Callithrix jacchus: one gene and its partners. The protein of the gene in region 7 interacts with the protein of the main gene of each other region in a pairwise test. Links are inferred from orthologs where the notes say so. Each region holds a gene or a part of one and is shown on either strand. Other genes may lie near its edges. The genes, in order: CCDC120, JOSD1, DLGAP2, WT1, HDAC4, MTA1 and KRT40.

Region 1 (3,500 bases), on a different chromosome or scaffold from region 7:
TTTGTCAAAAGGCTTTAGGGACTGATTCCCACCCCTGCTATTGAAGGCAGGGCACCACTGCTTCAAGAGAGGGGTACAGGCCCTATGGGGCAGGTAGGAGGACTCCAGAGAAAACTGACACCTTATAGACAGCTTGGCCTCACCCTACGATATACAGATGGGGAAGGGGCTTGAACCCATGCCTCCTTGGTTGGCTGGGTCTTCCTCACACCAGGCTAACAGTGTCATGACAAGCTGCCAAGTTCAAGGTAGGTGATGATGGGAACTCTGTGGCCCCATAAAACCCTCCCAGTCACCTGCCATTGAGGTTAGGCCAGGTGGTGGGAGGTGATGTCACTCAGCTCCCCAGCTGGGGACTGAGCAGGATGTGGAAGGGAGGGAGCAAACTCCAAAGGAGGGGACAAGGGCAGGGCTGGTGGCCAGCCAAGTCAGGCTCCATGGTCAGCAGAGGCATTGAGGGCAGAGAAGGAGGCAGGAGGCAGGAGGCAGGTGGTTTGTTATTTTCAGCTGTGGACTTTACTTCTTACAAATTCCAGCAGGGGGACTTCCCTAGCTAGGCTCAGGACAGGCTGGCATGGGAAGAGGGGCTGGAGGGACCCTGGGTCAAGTGAACCTAGTGAACACTCTCCTTGCTGCACTAGAGCTACAGAATGGAGTTGGGACAAGCACAGACCCACAGATCTGGGCTTGAACCCTGGCTCCACTGCCTCCTCATTCATTTACTCCGTCTTTTATTCATTCACCTGGCACCCATTCATTGAGCACTTGCGTGTACAGCCGTGTTCAGGATGCTGGCAATGCTGATGAAAATGGGACAGATAATGTTTTCTATCATTGCGGATGTTCCAGGAGGCATAATCTCTTGTTGGACAACCATTTGTGAGAGAATATAACACAGGGGCCCCCTGTGGAAGTGATATTTAAGCTTTAGAATGATAAGTGACACGAAGGGGCTGGGGTGGTGACAGATTGAAGAAAGCATTTCAGGCAGCAGCCACAGCCTGGGCAAAGACCCTGAGGCCTGAGGGACCAGGGAACTTATGAGGAAGTTGGTGGAGTTGAAGCGGTTCTCGTGAGCAAGAGTGTAGGTCCAGGGGGTGGACCTGGGTTATGTATGTGGCTATGGGCCAGTTATTTCACCTCTGTGCCTTCCTCTCCTCATCTGTAAAATGGGAGTATGAATCTTCCCAGGTGGCTGTGAAGATTCACTGTGGCATTGTAGGTAACTGTTGCAGGCAACCAGGTGCTGACTGCGTGGCTGTTGTTCTTATGGTTGGTTGAATCTGTCCCATTAATTCTCCCTCCCCAGGCAAGACTCCTGGCTGTGACCCATGGGCCTCTGAGGAGGCGTTGTAAGTCCGCCCAGCTCCCCACTTGCTGTGCTCCCACTCAATGCGAAGGGAACCAAGGTACCAGGGCCAAGTGGGTCCAGACATCCACACGGATTCTGAAAGGGCAGGTCAAGCAGGCACGTGGGGCCCAGGTTACCCCTTATTCCCTGCTGTGGCATGGGAAGTTGGGAAGGGCTGGGGGTTGGGGTATCATGGGACGTGCTTCCTTAACGGCTCCTGTGTGTCACTGCCAGACTTTGTCCAGCCATCAGCCACGGCCTCTCAACAGCACCAAGATGGAAGTCAAAGGTCAGCTGATCAGCTCTCCTACCTTCAATGCCCCAGGTCGGTGGCTGCTTCCCCTCCTGTTGCCTCCTCCCCTGCTCTAAATCACCACCTGCTTGCTTGGGAAGAGTTGGTCCCTGGCCCCACAGCTGCTCCAGGATGCCCTGGCTGTCCCACTGATCTTTGCTCCCTCTGTGTCCAGCTGCCCTGTTCGGAGAGGCTGCCCCCCAGGTGAAGTCAGAGCGTCTGCGGGGGTTGCTTGACCGGCAGCGGACCCTACAGGAGGCCCTGAGCCTGAAACTTCAGGAGCTCCGCAAAGTGTGTCTCCAGGAGGCGGTAAGGGCCTGGCCCTAGGGGTGTCAGGCGGGGAGGTGGTGGGGGAGGTGAGGAGCTGGGTCCCCTAGATAGACAGACTTGGGTGGCAGTTGTTCAACCACTTGTCCTGTCTGTGTCACCCACTTTTCTCTGTCACCCACTTTCTCAAAGCTCAGCTTAGCTGTGTTAGAATGAATGAAATACGGTAATACAGGCACACAATCCCCTGTCGACAATTTCAAATCCAACAAACCTTAGAAAACAGGTTCTGTTCAAAATTTGGCAGCACAGTCAGACCTGAACTGGCACAGGGTGATGTGTAGTTTCAGTTTCCCCCTCTTACTGTGAATGCCCACAGTGTGCCAGAAATAATACTATAGCTCAGACCACGCAGCCCCAGCCCCCGAAGGGAGTTATATAATACTTAGGATCTCGATGGTATCGCTTTTATAAAAATGAAACAATTTTGGATCCCAAAGCAGGTCTCCCTGCCTCTCATGCCCACCACCACAGGGGTTTGGGCCATTGAGATTTGGGCACGCCTGCCTGTTGGACATAATGGGAGGAGGAAGGGAAGTATCGTGTGTGGGTGCTGAGCAGGGCCAGGCTCCTGGTAGGACTTCTGTAGCTTCTGGGATCATTAATGTGTTACCGCATCCTTCCAACTAACCCTTGGTAGTCTCTGACTTCTGCCCTCCACCAGGAGCTGACTGGCCAGCTGCCCCCTGAGTGCCCGTTGGAGCCTGGTGAACGGCCCCAGTTGGTCCGCCGGCGGCCCCCCACAGCCCGCGCCTACCCTCCACCACACCCCAACCCAGCACACCACTCCTTGTGCCCTGCTGAGGTGAGCAGATGGGTGTGGAGAGCAAGAGGGTGGGGAGAGGGGACAGGTACAGAGGAGTAGCCAGGAGGAAGGTATGGGGAGGGGGCTTGTGGCCAGGTGAGGGAGAGGCTAAGGTGAGAAGGAAAAGGGCTTCTGGAGGTAGGTTCCTGCAATGAGGGAGGATGCTGGTCCCTAACTGTCAGGACAGGCCTCCCATGCTCAGGAAGATAAACAGTCCCAGTCCTTCACCAAGAGAGGCCCTGCCCTGCCCTGCCCTGCCCTGCCCCCTCCCCTCCCTGGGGTAAATAAGTTCCACCTGCAGGTGAATAGGCCTGAATAGGCCACTGGAAGTGCAGGACAGCCTCTAGTGGGTTTGGCTCCACCAGGTCCCTGTGCCTGGCCATTTCCAACATTTGGATGGGCCCGACAGGAGCTGGCTCTTGAGGCCCTGGAGCGTGAGGTGTCGGTGCAGCAGCAGATTGCAGCAGCTGCCCGCCGCCTGGCCCTGGCCCCTGATTTGAGCACCGAGCAGCGCCGGCGCCGGCGCCAGGTCCAGGCAGACGCACTGCGGAGGCTGCACGAGCTGGAGGAGCAGCTCGGGGACGTCCGGGCCCGCCTTGGCCTCCCAGTGCTCCCACCACCCCAGCCACTGCCACTGTCTACGGGGCCAGTGATCACCGCCCAGGGAGTCTGCCTGGGCATGCGGCTCACTCAGCTCAGCCAAGGTGAGCATCCCCTGGTGAGGG
Region 2 (4,103 bases), on a different chromosome or scaffold from region 7:
CGCAGAGGCTGAGACAGAATTGCTTGAACCGGGAGGTGGAGGCTGCAGTAAGCCGAGATCCAACCATTGCAATCCAGCCTGGGCGACAAGAGTGAAATCCCGCCTCCAAAAAATAAAGACTAAATTTGAAGTGCGACTTCTTCCTGTTTTTCCAGTTTTATTAAAAACCCAAAAGGAGGGAAACTACCCTAAGAGTAGGTAAAGAGAAAAAATAATGAAATCCAGGTGCGACTGAGCGTTTTCCCGACAACGCACACAATGCGCTTAGGTCTATGCAGAGAGGAAAGCCACAGTGAGAAGAGCGGGGAGCCCCAAGGCAAGAGGACAGTGGCTTGTGTGTACTGAACCCAAATGCGACACTAAGGAACTGCAACAGGATTCTCCTTCGCACTTGAAATGTGACTCCAGCGAGGCACCTACCCTTGGCGCTCCCTGAACAGCGCGGCGCGGTCGGGCGCACTAAACAAGTCAATTTGCGCTCGACCGAATCAGGTGCTTCGCAATCCCCCCCTGGTGAGCAGCGCGTTAGCCACACATAAAATGGTCAACGCAGGAGGGCAGGACCGCTCGGCCGAGAAGCCCGGCCCAGAGAGGGGAGGGGTGCGCAGAGCCGCGGACAGTAGCTGCTGGTCTGACGGCCGCCCCGGAACAACGCCCACACCCGGGAGAAGGGCAGGCGGGCGTTCTGGCAGGACTCCCTCAGGCCGCCCCGCCCCTCCTGGGACGGCGCCGAGCCGAGCCGCCAGACCCCGGCCCGGCCGGCCGCCGCCGAGCTCCGCAGCCCAACACCGGAGGCCCCTGCAACAGCCCAAACCCTCATCGGCGCCGGGACTCGCCAGGCATCCGTTGCTCGCAGGCAGGCTTCGATGACGTCATCCGTGACGCCACGGCGGGGAGGAGCGGGAGGGCGTTTCCGGGGCACGCGCCGGGAGGGGGCCGCTGACGTCGGGCTCAGGTGCGCGCGCCCGCCCGCCCGCCCGCGCGGCCCAGTTGGCGGCCCGCACTCCAGGTGGAGGCCGGCGGCGGTGAGGGGCGGTCGGCGGCGAGCAATCCCCGGGGCGCTGGGGGCTGCAGCCGGGGGCGCGGCGGGAGGGCGTCCGGGCCTGCGCTCACGTGACGGGCCGGGAGGTTGGGGTGGGGGCGGCGAGCCGGGCGGGCCGGAGCCCTGGAGCGCTAGGCGGACTCTGCGGCCCCACCCCTCGCGGGCCTGGCTGCTGCGGCGCGGAACCTTCCCTCCGGCAGGGGCTGGCCCCGCCGCGCACTTCCCGCGCCCGCTCGCCGCTGACCTGAGTTGTCTCCTTCGCAGGGCCGCGGCCAGAGGGCGAGAGTCCGCGCCTTCCGAGGGAGTCGCGTCCTGCGGGCCCCAGCGCACCCGAGGGGATGGAGGGCTGCCCCCGAGGCCCCCGCGCGGCCCGCGATCCCACGCCCGCGGGCCCGCGCTAGCTGCTCGATTCGTGCGCTTTATCAGCCACCCAGGCCTTGTCTCCCGAATCAGTGGCGTCGTGGTTCGAAAGAAATGGAAGAAAAGGAGCGATGTGACCGATTGTGTTCGGTCCTCCTGCTTTGAGGCCTGGCATTTGCAGAGGGAAACAGCAAGAAAATCGTGGGGTTTTTGGAGAGGGGTGGGAGGGAAGGGTGGGGAAAGGGAAAAAAGGTCTTAGATTTTATGTGTTTTTTAATTTTCTAAATTCTGCACTTTGACAGTGGTAGCAAAATAAAACTAATCCAAAAGTTATTTTTCTATTGAGAAGAGAGAAGAGGTGGGTTTTTTTTTTTTTCTTTTCATTCCAATCTTTTCTCCCAGTGACAAAGCATAAATCATGGACACCAGAGAATAAGGTGGACCTCAGGAATCCTGAAAAGACTGAGAAGCTTACATTCTTCCACTGGAGGGAAGAGTGGGGTGTTTTTAGCCATCTCTGGAACCTAAAAGAAAAAACATGAGTTGTGTGCCATGGAAAGGAGACAAGGCCAAATCTGAATCATTGGAGCTGCCCCAGGCAGCACCCCCACAAATCTACCATGAGAAACAGCGCAGGGAGCTTTGTGCCCTCCACGCCCTCAATAACGTCTTCCAGGACAGCAATGCCTTCACCCGGGATACGCTGCAAGAGATTTTCCAGAGGTAGGGACCCTTCTCCTTGGCATCTTGATACTTACTGATATTTCTGGATTTCTGTGGGTGGGGCAATATCTCAGCTTCATCGGCCTTCAAGTCTGTACGTATTAGCTAGATGCCATTAGCAGGTGTAAGGGACACGCGACAGGAAAAGATAATCACTACCATTTATCTGGCACGTACTGTGGGCTAAGCACAATGCTCATAGCCTCTGCTGTTTTCTTGAGTGATCTGCTCAGCAGTCCCATGGAAGACATGTTAATACCTGGAGTTATTTCCATTTTAATGATGAAGACAGCATTTAGTTCAGTACTTTGCCCAAGGTAACAAGACTTGGAGCTGGGTTGAATTCTTTTAAGTACGCTGTTGACCACTAGGTTTAATGCCTCTAAAGTTCTCCTGCCGGGGAGTTTACGATCTAGAAGTGGGACAAGATCCATTCAGTCACCTGTCATCAAAGGTTGAATTTGGGGGATACCACAAGCAAGATGTGTACACAGTGCTCAGCATTTCTGTGAGGCCAGGTGCTGGCAGTGGGGCTTTTCGTACATTGCTTTGTGTAGCCCTCCTAGCATTCATCTCACTGCCTGTATTTTACTGATAAATAGCCAGAAAGGTGAGGTAATATGTTCAAATAGCTTCTAAATAGATAGCAAAGCTATAATTTGAAGCTGACTCTGGATCCCCTCCTCTTTTTCCTTTATTCTAGATGGTCTTCCTTACCCACTTAGAACAAATGGCACTCCACAGGTTGATAGTTCAGCTTTTGGCCAAGCACCATGGCTCATGCCTGTAATCCCAGCACTTTGGAAGGCCAAGGCGGGTGGAATCACCTAAGTCCTGGAGTTTGAGACCAGTCTGGCCAACATGGTGAAACCCTGTCTCTACTAAAAATACAAAAATTAGTTGGGTGTGGTAGTGCATGCCTGTAGCCCTAGCTACTCGGGAGGCTGAGGCAGGAGAATCACTTGCACCAGGAGGTGGAGGTTGCAGTGAACCAATATCCCACCACTGTACTCCAGCCTGGGTGACAGGTCTTGGGGAAAAAAAAAAAGAGTTCAGCTTTATTCTCTTTGCTCTCATTTTCTTTTCTTCTTTTTTGAGACGGAGTTTCGCTCGTTACCCAGGCTGGAGTGCAATGGCACGATCTTGGCTTACCGCAACCTCCACCTCCTGGGTTCAAGCAATTCTCCTGCCTCAGCCTCCCGAATAGCTGGGACTACAGGCACGTGCCACCATGCCCAGCTAATTTTTGTGTTTTTAGTAGAGACGAGGTTTCACCATATTGACCAGGATGGTCTCGATCTCTTGATCTCGTGATCCACCCTCCTCGGCCTCCCAAAGTGCTGGGATTATAGCCTGCTCTCATTTTCTAGAATTGCTTTGTTAAAGGTTTTGAGAATCACTTATGTCGTGTCTTGATGAACACAACAGCATGTCTGCGGTCCGTAGCAACTCTGGTGGTGATGTTGCCTGATGACCCCAACTAGAAAGGGTTAGGCCCACTCAGTCCTCATTGCAGAAAAGCTCAAGCATTCTTTGAGCAGTGCTTATTGGCATTTCCAGAAGACGTTTTTCTTACTCTCTTAGCTTGTAAATGAAGTTATTGCCACATAGGGACCAGAATTACAGCTGGAAGCAATCTATTTGGGGTGATTTGTAAAAACACAGGTACGGATCATTTGCCCTGAAAGAGCCAGAGGCCTACTCTTAAAAGAATGTTAATCCCCATATGCAGACAAAACTATAATGAGAGTAATTATTTTCCAATGCCAGTAGTAACCAGAGTAATGCCTTAGCATTGAGCAAATGCGTTGTTTGCATCACGGCCATAATCTGGCAGCAAGTAGAGTTGACTCTGCAGGACCTGGGGTGTGGGAGATAAGATCGTTTGTCTCAGATCATCAGATCATGTCACTGAAAGGAGGATCCAGTACGTTGGACTGCTTTCTTTTGACCAGCCGTTAGTATTTCTCCTACTTCT
Region 3 (3,500 bases), on a different chromosome or scaffold from region 7:
TCTTCCCAGGGACAGGAAAGAGCAAGGTACCTGCCCTTGGCGGCTCAGTGGCCATAAGACAGGCCATGCTGTGCTGTCGCCATAGCCTCCATCCTCCAGGCTTGCAGGGAAAGCTCATCGCAGGCTGCAGAGGGGCACAGGGAGGAGTCGGGTGGGAAGGGACAGAGCCTGGCCTCTGGGGAAGGAGTCACAGATGCCCCCACGAAGACGGGGCCTCGAGAAACCCCTCCCATCCTCACTAGCCTGTGAGGATGTGGATCGAACAAGCAATTTCACAATTAATACGTATGTGTGTGTCTGTGTGTGGTGTGTGTGTCTGTGTGTGTGTGTGTGAGATACATGAGCTTGCTAGACAATATCACCCATCAAGCACCAGATGCTGTTTTAAAACTTCTTAAGCTGTACCACAAAATGGAAATCTAAGTGAAATACAACTATGTCTTTCCCTCAAATTGTCAGTTTCCTTTAATACCACAAAATCCGGCTGTGAAGAGACCTGGTCTTGGTCATGAACCGTTAGGGAATGTCAGAGTTTCCTCTCTGCTCCTCTCACTTTGTCATATAAAAACAACTGCCCGGCCAGGCACGATGGCTCACACCTGTAATCCCAGCAATTTGGGAGGCTGAGGCGGTGGATCACCTGAGGTGAGGAGTTCAAAACCAGACTGACCAACATGGCAAAACTTCATCTCTATTAAAAATAGAAAATTAGCTGGGCATGGTGGTGTGCACTATAATCCCAGCTACTCGGGAGGCTGAGGCAGGAGAATTGCTTGAACCCGGGAGATGGAGGTTGCAGTGAGCCAAGATTATGCCACTGCACTCCAGCCTGGGAGACAAGGCGAGACTCTGTCTCACAAAAACAAACAAACAAACAAAAAAATTAGTCGGGCATGGTGGCGGGTGCCTGTAATCCCCCCAGTTTGGGAGGATGAGGTGGGCGGATCACCTGAGGTCAGGAGTTTGAAACCATCCAACCTGACCAACATGGCAAAACCTCATCTCTACTAAAAGTACAAAATTAGCCAGGTGTGGTGGCACATACCTGTAATCTCAGCTACTCGGGAGGCTGAGGCAAGAGAATCGCTTGAACCCGGAAGGCAGCTGTTGCAGTGAGCTGAGATCCTGCCACTGCACTCCACCCTGGGCGACAGCGGGGACCGGGTCTCAGAAAAACAAGCAAAACTGTCCTCTCGCGTGCCCAGGCCAGAAATAGACACTGACCATCCTGAAAACCCAGTCCACGGTGGGGGGGTCACATACTCCACCTGCTCGCACCCGGGGGTCCCCGCCCACGCTCCCGCTCCCGGGTGCTGAGTGACGTTTCTGTGTTTTCCCGCAGACCCGCAGTACTCATGGTCGCCCACGCAGCACTTCAATGAGGAGCGCTACTCCCCGGCGCCCAGGAGCATGAAGGGCCTCTCCGGAAGCCGGACGCAGCCGCCGCTGTGTTCCGGGCACACGTGCGGCCTGGCGCCCCCCGAGGACTGCGAGCACCTGCACCACGCGCCCGAGCGGCCTCCCTACCTGCTGAGCGCCGCGGACAGCTGCCCCGGGGGGCGCCACCGCTGCTCGCCGCGCAGCTCGGTGCACTCGGAGTGCGTCCTGATGCCGGTGGCGCTGGGCGACCACGTGTCCAGCAGCACCTTCCCGCGCATGCACTACAGCTCGCACTACGACGCGCGCGACGACTGCGCCGCACCGCACGTGGGCGCCAAGATCAACCGCATCCCCGCCAACCTGCTGGACCAGTTCGAGAAGCAGCTGCCGCTGCACCGGGACGGCTTCCACACGCTGCAGTACCAGCGCGCGTCCGCGGCGGCCGAGCAGCGCAGCGAGAGCCCGGGGCGCATCCGCCACCTGGTGCACTCGGTGCAGAAGCTCTTCACCAAGTCCCACTCGCTGGAGGGCTCCTCCAAGGGCAACGCCAACGGGGCCAAGGCGGACGGCCGCGCCGACGACCCCCACCACGGCCACCACGCCAAGCATGGCAAGAGGAGCAAGAGCAAGGAGCGCAAGCCCGAGGGCAAGCCGCGGCCCGGCATGAGCAGCTGGTGGAGCTCGGATGACAACCTGGACAGCGACAGCACCTACCGGCCGCCCAGCGTGCTCAACCGGCACCACCTGGGCCCCGCGGCCCACGGCTACCCCGACGCCCTGCAGAGCCCCTTTGGGGACCTCTCACTCAAGACCTCCAAGAGCAACAACGACGTCAAGTGCTCGGCCTGCGAGGGGCTGGCGCTGACGCCGGACGCCAAGTACCTGAAGCGCAGCTCCTGGTCCACGCTGACGGTCAGCCAGGCCAAGGAGGCCTACCGCAAGAGCTCGCTGAACCTGGACAAGCCGCTGCTGCACCAGGACACCAAGCCCGCCCTGAGGCCGTGCCACTACCTCCAGGTAAGCAGACTCCCGCAACGGCAGGTGCTGTGGTCATTATTCCATTTCTAATTGACAGGTGACAACCGCATAACTGTGGGGAGTGCCACGGGATGCTCTGAGCTACAACACACGCCGGGACAGCTCCACTGAGCTACTCACACGCCCATTGCCTTTGGTACACCGTCTGTTGTGGTGGGAACATGTGAAGCCCACTCTGGGTGATTTCCAAGTGTGCAGTACAGGGTTAACTGTAGCTGTCATGCTGGCCACTCGGTCTCTTGAGCCCCTCCTTGCTTGTTGGTGGATGAGACCGACATCTCCCAATTCCTCCCCATCCCTAGTCCCGCCGGTGAACACAGTTCCACTCTCTGCATCCGTGAGTTCAGCTGTTTCAGATACCACCCTTGAGAGCGACCAAGCGGCCTCTGTCTGTGTGCACCAGGCTCATCCGGCTTTCTTTCCACAGTGCCTCCCGGCTCATCCATGTCGTGGAGAATGGCAGGTTTCCTTCTTTCACAGGCTGAGTAGTGTCCCATGTGTGTGTACTGCATCTTCTCTATCCATCATTTGCCGGTAGACTTGAGGGTTGACCACACGCCATGGCCTGCAGGGATGGTGAGATGTCTATGGCAGCTGTCATGCGTGACTCTGGCTCACTCTGGGAGCCTCTGGAGATCCCAATTCCTCCTTGGAACCACCCCTGTAAGCACAGGGGACCATTTTTTAAATGCCTCTAAGGCTGGAGAGTTTAACAGCCACAACAAACATAAACTAGCTGGTGTGCACGTTTTCCGTGTGAAAGCTAACGGTCAGGCGTCATGGAAATGGGCCTGTGACATTCGGGAGTTCACGCCCTGCACCTGACCACAGCCTCTATAAGCTGGAAAAGGCCTCTGTGTCTCTGGGGTGTGGATTTAGTGAATTTACCAAAGGCAAAAACAAATTAAAGAAGGTAGATTCCTAGAGCTAGCATATTGCAGAATTCTCTATTTCATGTGGATTTCCTCTGCCTTTGAATGGAGCCATCCCCGAGTTTACTGGGGAAGCCCTCTGGGAGGCACACGCTGCTGCTGAGGATGCCGCTGAGTGACTTCTGTCGGCCGATAGCGCTGTTAACAAAA
Region 4 (3,500 bases), on a different chromosome or scaffold from region 7:
CTCAAGAGAGACACTTCTGGTTGCTCAGTAGTGATGGTCTTAGAGCACTGCATTGTAGAATGTCCTGATCTAGCATCCATTAGTGATGTCTGCCATGGGGATCTGGAGTGCAAATGGGAGTGGTTTTAGGTCTGGACCTGCCATCTCTTCTTTGGATATATTCCAGTGCTCACGCTCCCTCAGGACCTACGTGAATGTTCACATGTGGCTTAAAGCCTCCCTTCCTCTTGCTCTCTGCCTGCAGGATGTGCGGCGCGTGCCTGGAGTAGCCCCGACCCTTGTGCGGTCGGCATCTGAGACCAGTGAGAAACGCCCCTTCATGTGTGCTTACCCAGGCTGCAATAAGAGATATTTTAAGCTGTCCCACTTACAGATGCACAGCAGGAAGCACACTGGTAAGTGTGTCCACTATCCAGCCTTGGGCAAACATGGTTCAAGAGCTCCTTTTCCAGGCTCTCACACTGTTAAGGACACAGGTGATTTCCAGGATGGAAAGTAAGCACTGCTTTGAAAGGTCTGATCCAGGCGATGGATGGTGGCTGTGCGGCCATTTTACATTCTGATTATCCATCCTTTGTTACAGATGTCAGCAAACTGTCTTCCAGAAGGACAGAGCAGAGTGAGTGGTAGAGAGAAAGTGCCACACAGACCTGTGTGGGAATTGTGTTGGTGTTAGAATACTTTTAGCGTTTCTAAAGAGAGAGGAGCTAGCCTGGGAATATAGCATCAGATGGTTTTGGGAGATCTACTCTGAAATTTTGGAAGAGATAGATAGTCCAAAGGAAAACTTACCTGCTTGGGTAGTAATCAACCAGACAGGAAGGGGAAAATTGACTGTTGGTTTGATTTTTTTTGTGATTGCTTAAAAAAAAAAAAGTCCAGGCGCAGGGTCTCACACCTGTAATCCCAGCACTTTGGGAGGCTGAGGTGGGTGGATCACTGAGGTCAGGAGTTCAAGACCAGCCAGGCCAACGTGGTGAAACCCCATCTCTACTAAAGCTTTTCCTAATACAAAACAAGCCAGGTGTTGTGGCCCACACCTGTAATCCCAGCTACTTGGGAGGCTGAGGCAGGAGAATCGCTGGAACTCGGAAGACGGAGGTTGCAGTGAGCTGAGATAGCAGCACTGTACTCCAGCTTGGGTACAGAGTGAGACTCTGCCAAAAAAAAAAAAAGAAGAAAAAAGAGAGAGAGAGATGATGATGATTTTTGAGGCTATGCCAATGAAACTGGCTTTTCCCCCAGGTCAACGGGCCTGCTTCTGGGAAATAGAAAAGTGGCATTGTCTGGTGTTGCCCACCTTAAATGTGGACAGCCATGTCACAGAACGTTTGCTCTGGGCCTTCTGGGCACTAGGTGGGAGTGTGGGAGTGTGGTGAAGCCCCGGTTTTCCTACCGAGGTGTTGGTGCTGCCCTCTCCACAACCGAAAAACAGCATTACTGTTAGGATCACTGTTACAATTGTGTTATTACTGGTGATTTTGCTGTTGGGAAGCTGGAGAAAAAAGTGAGCTGCATTCAGATTTCCTCAGACCACTGGATTTTGCCAATTCACAGTGTACAGAGGATGCAATTCTGGTATAAACTCGAGTTTGCACTCAGTGGGCCACAGACTTTGAGGCTAAAGAGGAGAGGATCAGTGGCATGTTATATTTGTATCAGGTTCTCTACAGGTATATTTCATTTAATCCTCACTCACAAAACATTTATTAAGAGGGTAGAATATAGCAAAAAGAGGACTAAAACTCCCGCCTTTTGACTCCAGGTTATAATCCCCCTTCTCAAGGAGTTCGTGGTTTGTTTCGGAGCTAGGATATACACAAATGAAATGGGACTAAGAGAATACACGGTCATGTACTAAATCAGAGATGGGAGGTACTGATGAGTTTGGAGGGTGTCCAGTTTGAACTAGGGTCATATGATGAAGTTTATCAGAAGAGGAAGGGCTCGGGTTAACCAGTGAAGGCTGATAGGCTGGACAGAGAAAGAGATGAGCAGAAGCTCAAAGGCAAGGGAGGAGATCAGACTCAATAGGGGCATTGTCTTCTCCAGCTCACAGAGGTGAAGCATCGGGCACCAGGCTGGATAGAAATATAAAGAAAGGGGCCAGGCGTTGTGGTTCACACCTGTAATCCCAGGACATTGGGAGGCATAGGCAGGAGGATTGCTTAAGGGGTTCAAGACCAGCCTGGGCAATATAGTGAGACCCTGTCTCTACAAAAAACATTTAAAAAAATTTAGCCAATTGTGCTGGTGTATGCCTGTAGTCCCAGCTACTCAGGAAGCTGAGGTGGGAGGATCGCTTATGCCCAGGATTTGGAGGCTGCAGTGAGCTAGGCTCGCAGGACTGCACTTCAGTCAGGGCAGCAGAGAGAGAGAGAGAATTTGTCTCTGAGAAAAAAAATAAAAACGTTCCAGTGCTTAGGATTTTCCAGCCCATGGAAGGATTTCCATGGAAGGATTGTAGACCCAGATACAGCTCACCACATTAGACACCCTGGAAGAAATGTTGTAATGAGGGAAGGAAGGAGAATTGGACCGTTCAATTTCCAAGCAGGCATTGCAGACAAAGTGTCATTTGTGAGGCACATACAGGAGCCTTTTCAATGTGGAGACAGGGGCGGAGGACATTTAGTGTGAGCAGAATGCAAGGAGGACTTCAAGATGTGAGCTCTGGCACAGCGGGGAATAGAGGTTCATGAAGGAAACAGCAGAGGTTTTGAGGTTGGAAAGATAACTGGGGGCTGCCCTGCAACACAAAGGCCTGACTGGTTCTAGAATGGCTTGTTTCTGTCCCAGATGCCTGTGACTCAGATTCTCCTAGGAAGGTGGGAAGGCCCAGGGTTGCTCACTTCTCTTGGGGCTCAGGTTCCAGGCTGAACTTTCTGTAGTGAGAACAGGTGTGAGGCTTCTCCATTCTGAGACAGGAGGTTGGGTAATCCCATTGCTGACTTGTCTTGGATAAAAGGGACACCAAAAACTTTCTCAATGCTTTGGCTTTTGGTGTAACTTAAGGGTCTCACAACCATGGAGTCATGTTTGCTTGACTCAGGAACAGGGAGTTAGTAGCAGAGAACACCAGATCTTTGGGCCATAGAACATGAGGCTGACCTCAAGGCACGTGCATCCCAGAATTCTGCCTCAGATTCAGCCTGGGAGTTAAAGATTTTGGTTTTCGTTTGTCTGTGTATTCTCTGCTAATATTTTTTGAACACTCCTTCTGTGCTAGGCCCTGGACTGAGCCCTTTACAAGAAGGTCATAAATCTTTTGAAGTTGTTGGATTGTTGGACCCATTTTACAATGAAGAAACCACACCTAACGTAGCTATTTTTTTTTTTAATGGCAGATCTGGCTGTGAGCCCTGGGGCAGAATCCTCTGGCCCCTGAGCTGCCATCATTTCTAACTTGCAGGTTTGGGATCATCCTACCCTAACAAACTCCAGCAAAGTGCCTTAGGCATTTTGAGATCTGCTCAGTCCTAGTAGGAGATGTTGCCTTT
Region 5 (3,500 bases), on a different chromosome or scaffold from region 7:
ACCTCACTCGCCTCCTGACTTCTGGTGAGGTACCGTGCAGGGAAAACCAGAGACCCTGGCTGGCAGATGGCCTCTCCAGGGAGAAGATGGCATGAAGGTGGCACAGACACAGAGGGCACGTGGCTCCCACAGTGTGTCCCAGGGCTCCTGGCTCTGCTCTTGAATAATCATGGCCGCCCACCAGCCACTCATAGCCCTAAGTCACTGGAGCCTCAGAGCCAACACTGTGGACGTGGCAAAGTGTGAGAGCGTAAGTGCAGAGGCGCAGGCTCCTGATTCCTATCACGCTGGACCAGAAGCTGCCTGCCCTCACAGCCCCATGGGCATGGGCTAGGGACTGTTCTTGGAGGAGACCACGGGTCTCTGGGACAGGGAAGGTGGGCAAGTGAGCTCGTGACAGGCCCCCAGAGTAACTGAACTGAGTGTGTGGTGGGGAGGGCGTCCGGGACTGGACTGCATGGTCCCCATCACCCAGTGTGGCCCTTGGGCCCCGCGGCAGTGCCCACCCAGCCCCTCAGTCTCTGCAGAGCTGGGCCTGGAGCAGCCCCCCAGGCTGTGCCCACGGTGGCCTGCGTCGTAGCCTCAGGCTGCGCGAAGGCCACATGTTACCTGTCGTGAACCTCGGTTTGGCAGGGGGCTCCTGGACAGACACGGGGAAGGTGGCGGATGCCGGTGAGGACTGTGCCCGGGACAGAGGCCGGTGGCTGCCGAAGGACACGGGGATGCCGGCAGCCTCCATGGACGCCTGGTAGTTCCTCAGCTGGTGGATCCGTTGCTGCTCCAGCAGGAGAGCTTGCTGTGGGGAGAAACGGCCATGATGGCGGCTGCAGGGCGAGGGCGCCCTTCTCTTGCATCTCCCATCCATGCACAGGACGTACACAGGCCACGAGGATGCCGCGAGGCCGGCTGCATGGAGAGGCCTTCCCTGTGAGTGCCCTGAAGCCCGAGTGGGCTCCGACCCAAGAACAATGCCAGCACGGGCTCTGCTGCCCAGCACATAGCTCCCTCTAGGGAAGGTGGGCCGTCCACGAGGGATGTGCCACAGGCTTCATTAACAGTGTAACACAGGCTGAGCCAGGGGGTTCCAGCGAGGCCTGGCTCAGTTTGGGGTATTAAGGAGGGCTTCTCTAAGGAGGTGCTGAGCCAGGAGCAACCTGGACCAGGTGCAGGGGAGCAGGCCCAGCAGCAAGGGCACGGCAGGCGTGGAGAGGCTCTTGCGGGGGTGGCAGCCTGGGGGATACGTGAAGGCCATGCAGATGTGGGGACCAGAGTGCCCACTCTGCTACACCACACACATACAGCGGGTGGGCACGAAGCCCCGCCCCCTTGTTGGGTTTGTGGGTCTTATTTTTGACCAAGGGCACTGAATCTGCATGCCAAACTCGGGCGAGAAAGCACACCACAGACTCAGACTTGGGAGAGCTAACTCGGCCTCATCCCCAGCCGCCCCCCTCCCTGGTCTCACATCCCACACACACGGCGTGCAGGCTAAAAGCAGAAACAGCCCATCAGCTTCCAGGCACCCAGGGCCTTTGGGGCCAGGAGCAGGCCTGCTGGTGGGGACGCGCCTCTCTGGAGAGGTGGAACGGGGCTGGGGCTCTGTGTGTGTGTGTGCAGGGGGGCTCTCAGCCAGAGGCATGGGACACCTCAAGGGATGCTGGGGACAGGCTGAGGTGCATATCCCCATATGAGGCAGAGTGGAGAGGAGGGAGCAAGGCAGAGATAAGGCCACAGCTGCCCAGCCTCTCCCCAGGCAGCAGCCGAGGGAGGGCACAGCCAGCCACCTGCCACCCAGGCCAAAGCACAAAGGAAGCCGGGAGCCTCCTTGCTGGGAGCTCTGCCCCAATCCTGTCTTAGTTTTGATGAACAAATCCTGTGAATGTGGAAAACCAAGTACCCACATGCCAGCTCCTGTGTGAGAGGCAGAGCCCAGCCCTGTGCCACCAGCACTGGGGGAAGCCAGAGCTGTCTGGCGAGGCTCCGATCTGTCCTGCCTTTAGGAATCAGAGCCAGGAGTAGAGCAAAGGGCAGCCCCGAAACAGCAGGAGGAGCTGGAGCCGGCACCCACAGGCCCCCAGGCTTCCGCTGACCGAGTTCAGCTGGGATTACTGCAGCTCCATGCAGCTGATAAACGATTCTCCTGGCACACTGACTGGAAGATGCCCCGTCTCCCTGAATGCGGAAAGTTGCTCCAAGTACTACCACATTTCCCTGATACGGAGGTCTGCCTATTACTCACTGGAGAACACAGAAAATAAGTGTTTCTAATAATCGTCTCATGCTTCGAATATAACAAACCTCTTTTTTCAAAGTAAATGCTGATCTATGAGAAGCGAGCCCTAAAAATTACTAATGTAAATAGTTCCAGTTTCTTCTCAGCATAACAACAACACACGGAATTTCAGTCCCAGTGAGAGACCCGCTTCCTTCACCGCGACCTGACCACAGGAAGAAGCCCCCATGCTGGGCCGTCAAACAGGACCTGTGGACAGGAGTCCACCGGGAAGCGCCATGTGTGCCAGGGAGGCCGGGCTGTCTGTCTGTCTTCACCAAGTGTTAGTTCTGCTGCGCTCTGTCGTGTTTAGTGCCTGGGGTGCTAATGAAGCAGCCCCAGAAATTAGAGAGCAGCCACCCCCTGAATGAGAAGGAGAGATAGCACCCAATGCCAGCCTCTGGGAAGCTGGGTAGAGACGGGCTTCTGACCCGGAAGCCTCCGGAGACCACTGTGGTGGACTCCGGTCCAGGTGCTGCAGATTTAAGTCCCCACACAGATTTCATTCAGTAGCAAGCATTTAAGAAGTGTAGCTGAGAATTCAAGGAAATGGTTTACTGCTGGGAGCCCTGTTCCTGGCTTCCAAGATGCCGCCGGGGGTGGAGGCAGCGTCAGGCCACACAGCTGGCAGGCAGGAAGCAGGGGAGGTGCCCAGTGCCATGGCCATCGTGGAGTCCAGCGAGAAGGGAAGGAAAAGCCAGTGGCTCCTGCAGCTGAAGCCACAGCTCTGCTGCTGGAGGACAGATCAAACCTACAGCTGTGGCTCCCCAGGCTCACTTCCCGCCTATAGGGGGAAGCCACCTTCCTGAGGACACTGTGGCTGCAGATACAGGGCTCTGGCTGGCTGCCCAAACGCCCTAGGTATTTCTGTTGACTTGGAAGTTTTATGTTTCCCTGGAAATTAACCAATCACTCACTGGCCTTCTTCATCGGTCTCCTGTGAGTTTGGTTCCTCCGTGTCAGTGCCCTGAAGCCTTACTGGCTCTGGGTACCACAACTGTACCCATCTGTCTGGATCTGTAGGGCTGCTCGTTAGCACTTCTGCACCACGAAATGTCTTGGCTTCTGATCAGACCCTGTCTGCCTTTCTGATCAATTAATACATCTATTTCCTTCACTTCCTCTATCTCTTAACACGTGGATTCTGTGTTCATTTACACCTACAGACAGGAAGGAAACCCATTCTCTGGGGCTGCATGGCTAGAAAGCAGTGATGTCACCTCCCTCA
Region 6 (3,124 bases), on a different chromosome or scaffold from region 7:
GCCACAGAGGGAGTGCCTGTCCTGACATGTGGGGCCAGGACCCCGGCGCTGGAGAGGGGCCGGCTGGGTGGAGACAGCTCCCGGGGGCGTTGGCACAAAGCGGGTGGGGTCTCTGTCCAACCTGGGTAGGTGTGAGCCGAGCTCGGGCAAGGCCCTGCCTGCCCACTGCATGGAGCCCTAGCGTTCTAACGCAGCCAGCTGCCCCTGCTCTGTCCCCACCTGCGGGGCCTGCAGACGGCGCGTGCGGCTCACTAACCTAAAGCATGTGTTTTCGTCCCTCTGCCGTCCACCACACTGGTAGGCACTTACCTGGGTAAGTAGCTTTTGTGCTAGGGGCCAGCCCTGGGCGCTGGGCCTGGGCTCACGGCAGGTGCCCCGAGGTGTGGCTGCCGCTGCTCAGGGGCGCTACGGAGCAGGCACCTGGGCCCCCACCCCACCCTGCCGGCAGGGCTAAGCCAGCTGGTAGGGAAAGGCTGACCCAGGGCTCCAGGGCCCAAGTTGGCCCCTAGGGGAGTGCCCCAAGCTAGGGGTGGCTGCAGGTGGGTAGGGCTGGACAGGCCACTTCTGTTCAGCCTCAGCTGAGCAGTGTTTCTGGAGCTGGCAGGTTTGCCCCCAAGCCTGGCACCTGACTGAGTATGGCATCCTGTCCTCTCCGGGTTGGTCCTGCTGGGAGCCAGACCGCCCTGAGACCAGCTTCTGTGTGCCCACACTCACACTCACAGGCAGGGCAGTGGGGGATAGCAGCTCAGGTCCTGGGCCTGGCTGGGGGTCACCAGGAGCATGGCCTGCCTCTTGGCCCGGCTCCCGCAGTGCCCCTTAGGCTCCTTACTGTGGGAACTCAGAGGCCTTTGGCACCCCACCAGGGTGGCTGGGGCCCAGCAGGGGCAGTGGGCAGCGACCTGAGTTTCCAGCTGGGGTTGGTGGCTCTTGATGCCCTGGACCTGGCCAGTGAAGGCAGCTCGGAGCCTTGGGAAGAAGCCTGGCTTCCTGGTGGACCAAGGCCTACAGCATGGCTGCCCGCAGAGGGGCTTATGCCACTGCTCTACTGACGGCCATGCCAGGCTTTGCTTGTCTCTGCACAGGCAGGCGAGTGGGTGGGCGGCCCGGCCCCTGTGCAGCTGTGACGTCCAAGGCTCCTGGGCTCCTGCCTGGAGTTCAAGCCAATGTGTCTCTCACCGATCAGAGAGCAATGGGGCCACCAGACGGCCCAGGACCTGGGGAGGCGAGGCCCCACATCCCCCAGGCCCATCCCGGGTGTGGGCTGTGGCTTGGTTGTCGGGTGGCCCCAGCCCGTTGTCCCGGGGTGGCTGAGGCAGCTGTGGGTGGTGGGGGTGCAGGACGCGCTCTCTGAACCTCATTTCTCTTCTACATTTTTCGTCAGGTCTGGCAAACCACGGACAGTCCAGGCACATGGTAAGAGGGACAGCCCATGATGTGGCACACATGTGCTCACCCTTGGGAAGCTCTCGGGGGGTAGCCGGCCCTGCCCAGTGCCACGTGGAAGCCTCCAGGAGGCCTGGCAGGACCAGAGGGGCTGCAGCATGTGGGGACCGTGGCCTCTGTGCCAGGCCAGCGGTGTGGGCCACACAGTCCAGGGCCACCCTGGCTTGGGGCGGGAGTATGAGTAGCTCATGGGGTGGGGTGGGGGGTCTCCAGGCGGCCGTGGTTGGGGCCCCGCTCAGCAGGAGCCTGCAGGTTGAGGTGGAGCTGGCCCTCGGCCGGCTGCCCAGGAAGCGCACCCCCTCTGCAGGGACCAAGCCGGAACCTCCTGCTTAACGGGAAGTCCTACCCCACCAAAGTGCGCCTGATCCGGGGGGGCTCCCTGCCCCCGGTCAAGCGGCGGCGGATGAACTGGATCGACGCCCCAGATGACGTGTTCTACATGGCCACGGAGGAGACCAGGTGGGGCCTTCCCGGGGCAGGCGGGCGGGCTCCGAGCAGCGTCCCGGCCCTCACCGCCACCTCTGCCCGCAGGAAAATCCGCAAACTGCTCTCGTCCTCGGAAACCAAGCGGGCTGCCCGCCGGCCCTACAGACCCATCGCCCTGCGCCAGAGCCAGGCCCTGCCGCTGCGGCCAGCGCCGCCCGCGCCGGTCAACGACGAGCCCATCGTCATCGAGGACTAGGGGCCGCCCCCGCCTGCGGCCGCCCCACCCTCGCCCGCCCCAGCGCCCACGCGGCCCTTCCCAGCCAGCCCGCCGCCCGCCCCCTCAGTTTGGTAGTGCCCCACCTCCCGCCCTCACCTGCAGAGCAACGCGCGCCTCGGCCCTGGGGAGGAGAGGAGGAAGCGCCGCCAACTTATTCCCGAACCGAGGAGCCGTGTTTTTAGCTTCGTGTTTACTTTTCGGCTGGAGCGGAGATGCGGGGCCACCCACGCGTGCCCCTGTGCTGCGGGGCTTCCTGCCCGGAGGCCGGGCCCTAAGGTTTTGTTGTGTTCTGTTGAAGGTGCCATTTTAAATTTTATTTTTATTACTTTTTTTGTAGATGAACTTGAGCTCTGTAACTTACACCTGGAATGTTAGGACCGCGCGGCCGAGCTGCCTGGCGGGGTTGGCCCCTTGTCTTTTCAAGTAATTTTCATATTAAACAGAAACAAAGTAAAAAATCTTATAAAAAGAAAAAAAACAACTGGTTCTTCCCCGTCTTTTGCTCCCAGTCCCTCTCCCTGACTTAGGCCCTGGGGCCCCCACCCTCCTCGGGCAGCCCTGGCCGTGCCCCTGCCCTGGAGCGGGAGGCCCCTGGAGAGCCACCCGGCCTCCAGGCTCTGCTGCTCTCCCTGTCAGGCCTGGCGCAGTGCCCTCTCCCTGTCTCCCAAGTCCGGGGCTCAGCTGGGGCCAGGAGGCTCAGAGAAGGGGCTCCGAGGACATAGCACCAGGAAGCCTGTGGGTGCGGAGCTTTCCAGACTGGGGCCAGGCTCTGCCGGGCTTCAGGGCAGAGGCAGCACGAGGAGAGAGGTCTGGCAGGCCTGGGTGGGAGGAGGCCAGGGTGGGGGTGTGGGGGTGGAGTGACCAGCATGACCCCTCTATCTCCACAAGGGGCAGCAAGGGGTCTCAGGGCCCGGCCCCCTTCCCCTGTGGAGCAGGGCTGCAGTGGTGGGCCTGGGGCTGCCCCCTACCAGGCAGAGC
Region 7 (4,278 bases):
CATTAAGTTACTGCGAAAAGATCGTTTTCTTTCAGAGAGTTGTGATTTTTTTGAAAGTGTTTTTGAATCCTTGAACTTGTGTTTGTTGCAAAGCAGCATCAGCATACCATGAAGCACTCTAAAAACTTTTCTCATAAGTGTTGATGTGTAAAGAGAATCACTAAATTCAAACTCAACTCTGCCCAGGGAGTAAGAGACTATTTTAACTCACTTACATATGTTCTCTGGCTTGGTTTGGTTTGGTTTCTCTTCTCAGCTACCCAGGAAGCAGCACTCAAGATTAGGAGAAGAAATAAGTTTATTTTGGATCATAAATTTTTTAACTTTTTCAGATTAATGTGTTTTTTTCCTATAATGTTCTTAAAAATTCTAGAGGCAATTTTCTCTGTGCACCTTTGAAAATGAAATACATGTCATGACTAACGCTAAGCAAAGTGAAATAGATTGTACTTCATAACGGAGGTGAAATTCAAGAGAGAATCCAAAAAAGTCACACATCTCAAGCTCCTATCTGTCAGATTTGGCATCAGAGATTTCAACCAGTGGAATTAGTCATTTGGAACCTGAATAGAATTTTATTTCCCAAGTTCCAGTATGTTTATACATCTCAGAAGCAAAGACTCCTGTGGGTTCCTCCCTCTTTTCTGAAGTATAATCACTGAGGAATTCCCAAGGGACTAAAAGATTATAACTTAGAAAATTTATATTTCACTCTTATTAGGAATACAGGTAAAATTGTATGACTTATCTAAAAATAAGAAGTGTGGAGAAGGCAAGTTTCAGGAAGTCAAAGATCATAATTCCAGCTCTAACCAATATATATTTTAACTTACAGGAAACAAGTTATTCCTATCAGTTGTGTAAAGAGACTTTTCCATTTGTATGCAGGTAGACATGGTTTGTACACACACACACACACTCACACTCTTTAAACCCAGTATATACCTCACTTCTCCAGTCCTGTCAGCACATGCTCTAAGATCACAAAAAGCACTGGAAGATTGCTAACCACACTGACCATTTTTATAGTGGTGGACAAACAAATGAATGTCCTTTTATGAGCCGTAATACTAATTTTAAAGAAGACACAAGCAATCAATGCACAGAATCAAAATCTGTGGGAATATTAATTTCCTGATTTGTAATGAGTTGTATCTATAATTATTGATTGGCCAAATGTTCTCTTTCTTTTCTTATTCTGTCAAAAAGACAATGCTTCCTATGATGATTTTCTGAAATAAGTGTTTTGTCTTGCACATGGAAATGGTGTGGGCCCTGCTTTGGTAACCTAAAGTTATCCCCCTTTTATGAGGCATACAACTCTTCTTCAGTAAATAAACAACTCTAATGAGATGTTTGTATAAAAACCGGCACCATCAATGATGACGAAAACATCCGGTGCAGTCTGTAAACACCCATTTTGAGGGGGCGCTATATAAAACTCTCAGGAGGGAAGGAGTGTTTTGGAGTCAAGGCAACTGGTGTTTTGCAGCCAGTCTCTGTCTTTGCTTCTAGAAGGATGTCTTCTGACTGCTCCTCCACGCTCTGCTCTCCTGAGTCCTGTACCAGGGCTTCCTGTTGTGCACCTGCCTCAAGCTGTTCCATGGAGACAGCTTGTCTCCCCGGTTCCTGTGCTGCATCCCGATGTCAGACCCCTAGCTCCCTTTCCAGGTCTCTCGGGCTGACCGGTTGCCTCCTGCCATGCTACTTTACTGGGAGTTGTAGTAGTCCCTGCTTGGTGGGGAACTGTGCCTGGTGTGAGGATGGAGTGTTCACTAGCAATGAGAAGGAGACGATGCAGTTCCTGAATGACAGACTCGCCAACTATCTGGAGAAGGTGCGCAGCCTGGAGGAGACCAATGCAGAGCTGGAATCCAGGATCCAAGAGCAATGTGAACAGGATATCCCACTGGCATGTCCCGATTATCAGTGTTACTTCAACACCATTGAAGATCTCCAACAAAAGGTGCATGTCCTGTTGCCCTAGTGCTCCAGCTTCTCGATCTATGGTTTGCTTTATCTTTCTACTAGAAGGTGCTGTTTTACAGAAGGAAACCAAGAGAAAGGAGAGTTCTACAAGTTAATGGTACATAGGGAAGAGCACTGTGCTGGAAGTCGGGAAACCTCAGTCCCACCCCTAAAGCTACCCCTGATTACTGAGTAACTATAACAAAGTAACTTGTCTGTGGACTTTTCCTTCGTCATCTATAGAATGCAAAAAGACTGTGTTATATCCAAAATCGCTTTTGTATGTGACACTGAACATTTATATTATCTGAACACAGATCATGAAATGCCATCTTTTTAACCACCTAGTCATTTTCTTCTCTCCCTGATGAATTTCCATTATGGGAGAGGGTATAGTCATAATACAAACTACTGATGGAGAAAAACGTTAATGGCGTTCCACTGCCTAGGAATAGTGCAAAATGTCTTATGTTATGAGAAAAAGTGAACCTTTTTATGTCTCTATTTTGTTTCTGAATTGGCACTGCTTGTTTGCTTCATCAAGTGACACGGTGAATACGGAAAGCAGCTAACGGCCATTTTACACTTTCTTATAAAGACTTTCAAAGGATAACTAATGGCATAGCTGTTGGATAGTAGTTTATTTAGGTTTCTCTCAAAGAATACTTTATTAAATAAGGACTTTCTTCACAGATCTTATGCACGAAGGCAGAGAATTCTAGACTTGCTGTACAGCTTGACAACTGCAAACTGGCCACTGAGGATTTTAAGTCAAAGTGAGTTGAATTTTATTTAATTTATTTATTTTGAGGTGGAGTTTCCCTCGTTGCTCAGGCTGGAGTGCAGTGGCACTATCATGGTTCACTGCAACCTCCGCCTCCTGCGTTTGAGCGAGTCTCCTGCCTCAGTCTCCCAGGTAGCTGCGATTACAGACAGGCATGTGCTGCCATGCCCAGCTAATTTTTGTATTTTTAGTAGAGAAGAGGTTTCACCATGCTGGCCAGAATGGTCTCAAACTCCTGACCTTAGGTGATCTGCCTGCCTTGGCCTCCCAAAGTGCTGGGATTACAGGCATGAGCCACCACACCCAGGCTTAATTTTATTTTGAAAATAATTTATGGCGCTCTCTCTCTCTCTCTCTCTCTCTCTCTCTCACACACACACACACACACACACACACACAAACACACACACACTCTCTCTCTCTCTCACACACACACACAAATATTCTCTATATAATATCTTAAAGTTAAGAATGTCTTAAAAGCTTGAATTTATCATTACTCAGGAATTAAGAGAAATTCTGCATGTGGCTTCCTGAAATTCATATGTCGATCCTCCATGTATCCTCACACTTTGCACAGCATTCAACAGAATAAGTGTTGGATTTCTCTTTTGCTGTGAAAGGTACGACAGTGAACTGTCCCTTCGCCAGCTGTTACAGGCTGACATCAGCGGCCTGCATGGAATCCTGGATGAGCTGACCTTGTGCAAATCCGACCTGGAGGCCCATGTGGAGTCTCTGAAGGAAGATCTTCTTTGCCTTAAGAAAACCCATGAAGAGGTAAGGAAAGTGGCAACTCCGTTGAAGGACTCCAAGAGTGACATAGTTACACTGACAGATGATCTGTTGATGTTTGTGAATAGAACTAGGGCAGATGTTGCTTAAGCTAGACTAAAACTGCTCAAGGCATTATTACTGCTCAGCCTGATCATTCCAGTGTGTCTCTGAATTAAGATGTGAAATACCCCTGGCCAGTGCCAGACGAAGAAATCAAACTCTTCTCCTGCCCCTGCCTTTGTGGAGAAGGTGAATAACTCCACAAATGGCTTTCCTTGGAGGTTTTATGCCACTCCTAATTCCAATCCACCGGCTATAAAAATCAGGCTGAGAAACAGACTGTGAAGGCCATTTCAAAAAGAGAGAAAGACCCGTGCACTATCTGGACCAGTGTTTTTAAATATTCCACATTTATAAACTTTTAAAACTCATAAAATATAAAGCAATTGATATATTAATAAAGCTAGAAAATGAAAAGCTGAATGACGTAACAAATTACTTTGCTCTTTGAACATTTTTTGATGGCAATCATAGCTAACATTCATCGAGAACTTACTATGTGCCAGGACATTTATAAGTTAATTATATGTAGATTAATTCTTCTAGATCTCACAATAACCTTTGGGAGAAATGTCCAATTATTATGCCCATTTTACAGATGAAGCAACTGAGACCCTTGTAAGTGGTGAAAAGAGATTCAGCCTAGGCAATCTGAATAAAAATCTCACACTTTTACCCACTACTCCAAA

What was found.
Region 1: the proteins of KRT40 (region 7) and CCDC120 interact in binary tests that used the Homo sapiens proteins (3 or more experiments, as listed by UniProt). The link is inferred for Callithrix jacchus from reciprocal best matches to the Homo sapiens genes KRT40 and CCDC120.
Region 2: the proteins of KRT40 (region 7) and JOSD1 interact in binary tests that used the Homo sapiens proteins (3 or more experiments, as listed by UniProt). The two-hybrid records come from large-scale screens. The link is inferred for Callithrix jacchus from reciprocal best matches to the Homo sapiens genes KRT40 and JOSD1.
Region 3: the proteins of KRT40 (region 7) and DLGAP2 interact in a two-hybrid assay, tested with the Homo sapiens proteins (2 studies listed by BioGRID). The link is inferred for Callithrix jacchus from reciprocal best matches to the Homo sapiens genes KRT40 and DLGAP2.
Region 4: the proteins of KRT40 (region 7) and WT1 interact in binary tests that used the Homo sapiens proteins (3 or more experiments, as listed by UniProt). The two-hybrid records come from large-scale screens. The link is inferred for Callithrix jacchus from reciprocal best matches to the Homo sapiens genes KRT40 and WT1.
Region 5: the proteins of KRT40 (region 7) and HDAC4 interact in binary tests that used the Homo sapiens proteins (3 or more experiments, as listed by UniProt). The two-hybrid records come from large-scale screens. The link is inferred for Callithrix jacchus from reciprocal best matches to the Homo sapiens genes KRT40 and HDAC4.
Region 6: the proteins of KRT40 (region 7) and MTA1 interact in binary tests that used the Homo sapiens proteins (3 or more experiments, as listed by UniProt). The two-hybrid records come from large-scale screens. The link is inferred for Callithrix jacchus from reciprocal best matches to the Homo sapiens genes KRT40 and MTA1.

The regions. Positions count from the first base shown.
Region 1 is NC_133524.1:49,609,954-49,613,453, forward strand, and holds part of CCDC120 (coiled-coil domain-containing protein 120), read left to right. Parts: intron 1-1,309; coding exon 1,310-1,468; intron 1,469-1,585; coding exon 1,586-1,676; intron 1,677-1,818; coding exon 1,819-1,952; intron 1,953-2,634; coding exon 2,635-2,775; intron 2,776-3,184; coding exon 3,185-3,479; intron 3,480-3,500. UniProt on the Homo sapiens protein: Centriolar protein required for centriole subdistal appendage assembly and microtubule anchoring in interphase cells. Together with CCDC68, cooperate with subdistal appendage components ODF2, NIN and CEP170 for hierarchical subdistal appendage assembly.
Region 2 is NC_133502.1:209,578,397-209,582,499, reverse strand, and holds the start of JOSD1 (josephin-1), read left to right. Parts: upstream 1-1,303; 5' UTR 1,304-1,306; coding exon of another isoform or gene 1,307-1,443; 5' UTR 1,444-1,940; coding exon 1,941-2,125; intron 2,126-4,103. Other genes in the region: uncharacterized protein LOC144578143, read left to right, coding at 541-856, 1,307-1,443.
Region 3 is NC_133514.1:4,447,400-4,450,899, forward strand, and holds part of DLGAP2 (disks large-associated protein 2), read left to right. Parts: intron 1-1,342; coding exon 1,343-2,397; intron 2,398-3,500.
Region 4 is NC_133511.1:97,761,733-97,765,232, reverse strand, and holds part of WT1 (Wilms tumor protein), read left to right. Parts: intron 1-244; coding exon 245-395; intron 396-3,500. UniProt on the Homo sapiens protein: Transcription factor that plays an important role in cellular development and cell survival. Recognizes and binds to the DNA sequence 5'-GCG(T/G)GGGCG-3'. Regulates the expression of numerous target genes, including EPO.
Region 5 is NC_133507.1:160,432,099-160,435,598, forward strand, and holds part of HDAC4 (histone deacetylase 4), read right to left. Parts: intron 797-3,500; coding exon 610-796; intron 1-609. UniProt on the Homo sapiens protein: Responsible for the deacetylation of lysine residues on the N-terminal part of the core histones (H2A, H2B, H3 and H4).
Region 6 is NC_133509.1:140,331,133-140,334,256, forward strand, and holds the end of MTA1 (metastasis-associated protein MTA1), read left to right. Parts: intron 1-301; coding exon 302-313; intron 314-1,381; coding exon 1,382-1,413; intron 1,414-1,750; coding exon 1,751-1,902; intron 1,903-1,974; coding exon 1,975-2,125; 3' UTR 2,126-2,624; downstream 2,625-3,124. UniProt on the Homo sapiens protein: Transcriptional coregulator which can act as both a transcriptional corepressor and coactivator. Acts as a component of the histone deacetylase NuRD complex which participates in the remodeling of chromatin.
Region 7 is NC_133506.1:92,275,898-92,280,175, forward strand, and holds the start of KRT40 (keratin, type I cytoskeletal 40), read left to right. Parts: upstream 1-1,478; 5' UTR 1,479-1,519; coding exon 1,520-1,966; exon of another isoform or gene 1,967-2,661; coding exon 2,662-2,744; exon of another isoform or gene 2,745-3,375; coding exon 3,376-3,532; intron 3,533-4,278. UniProt on the Homo sapiens protein: May play a role in late hair differentiation.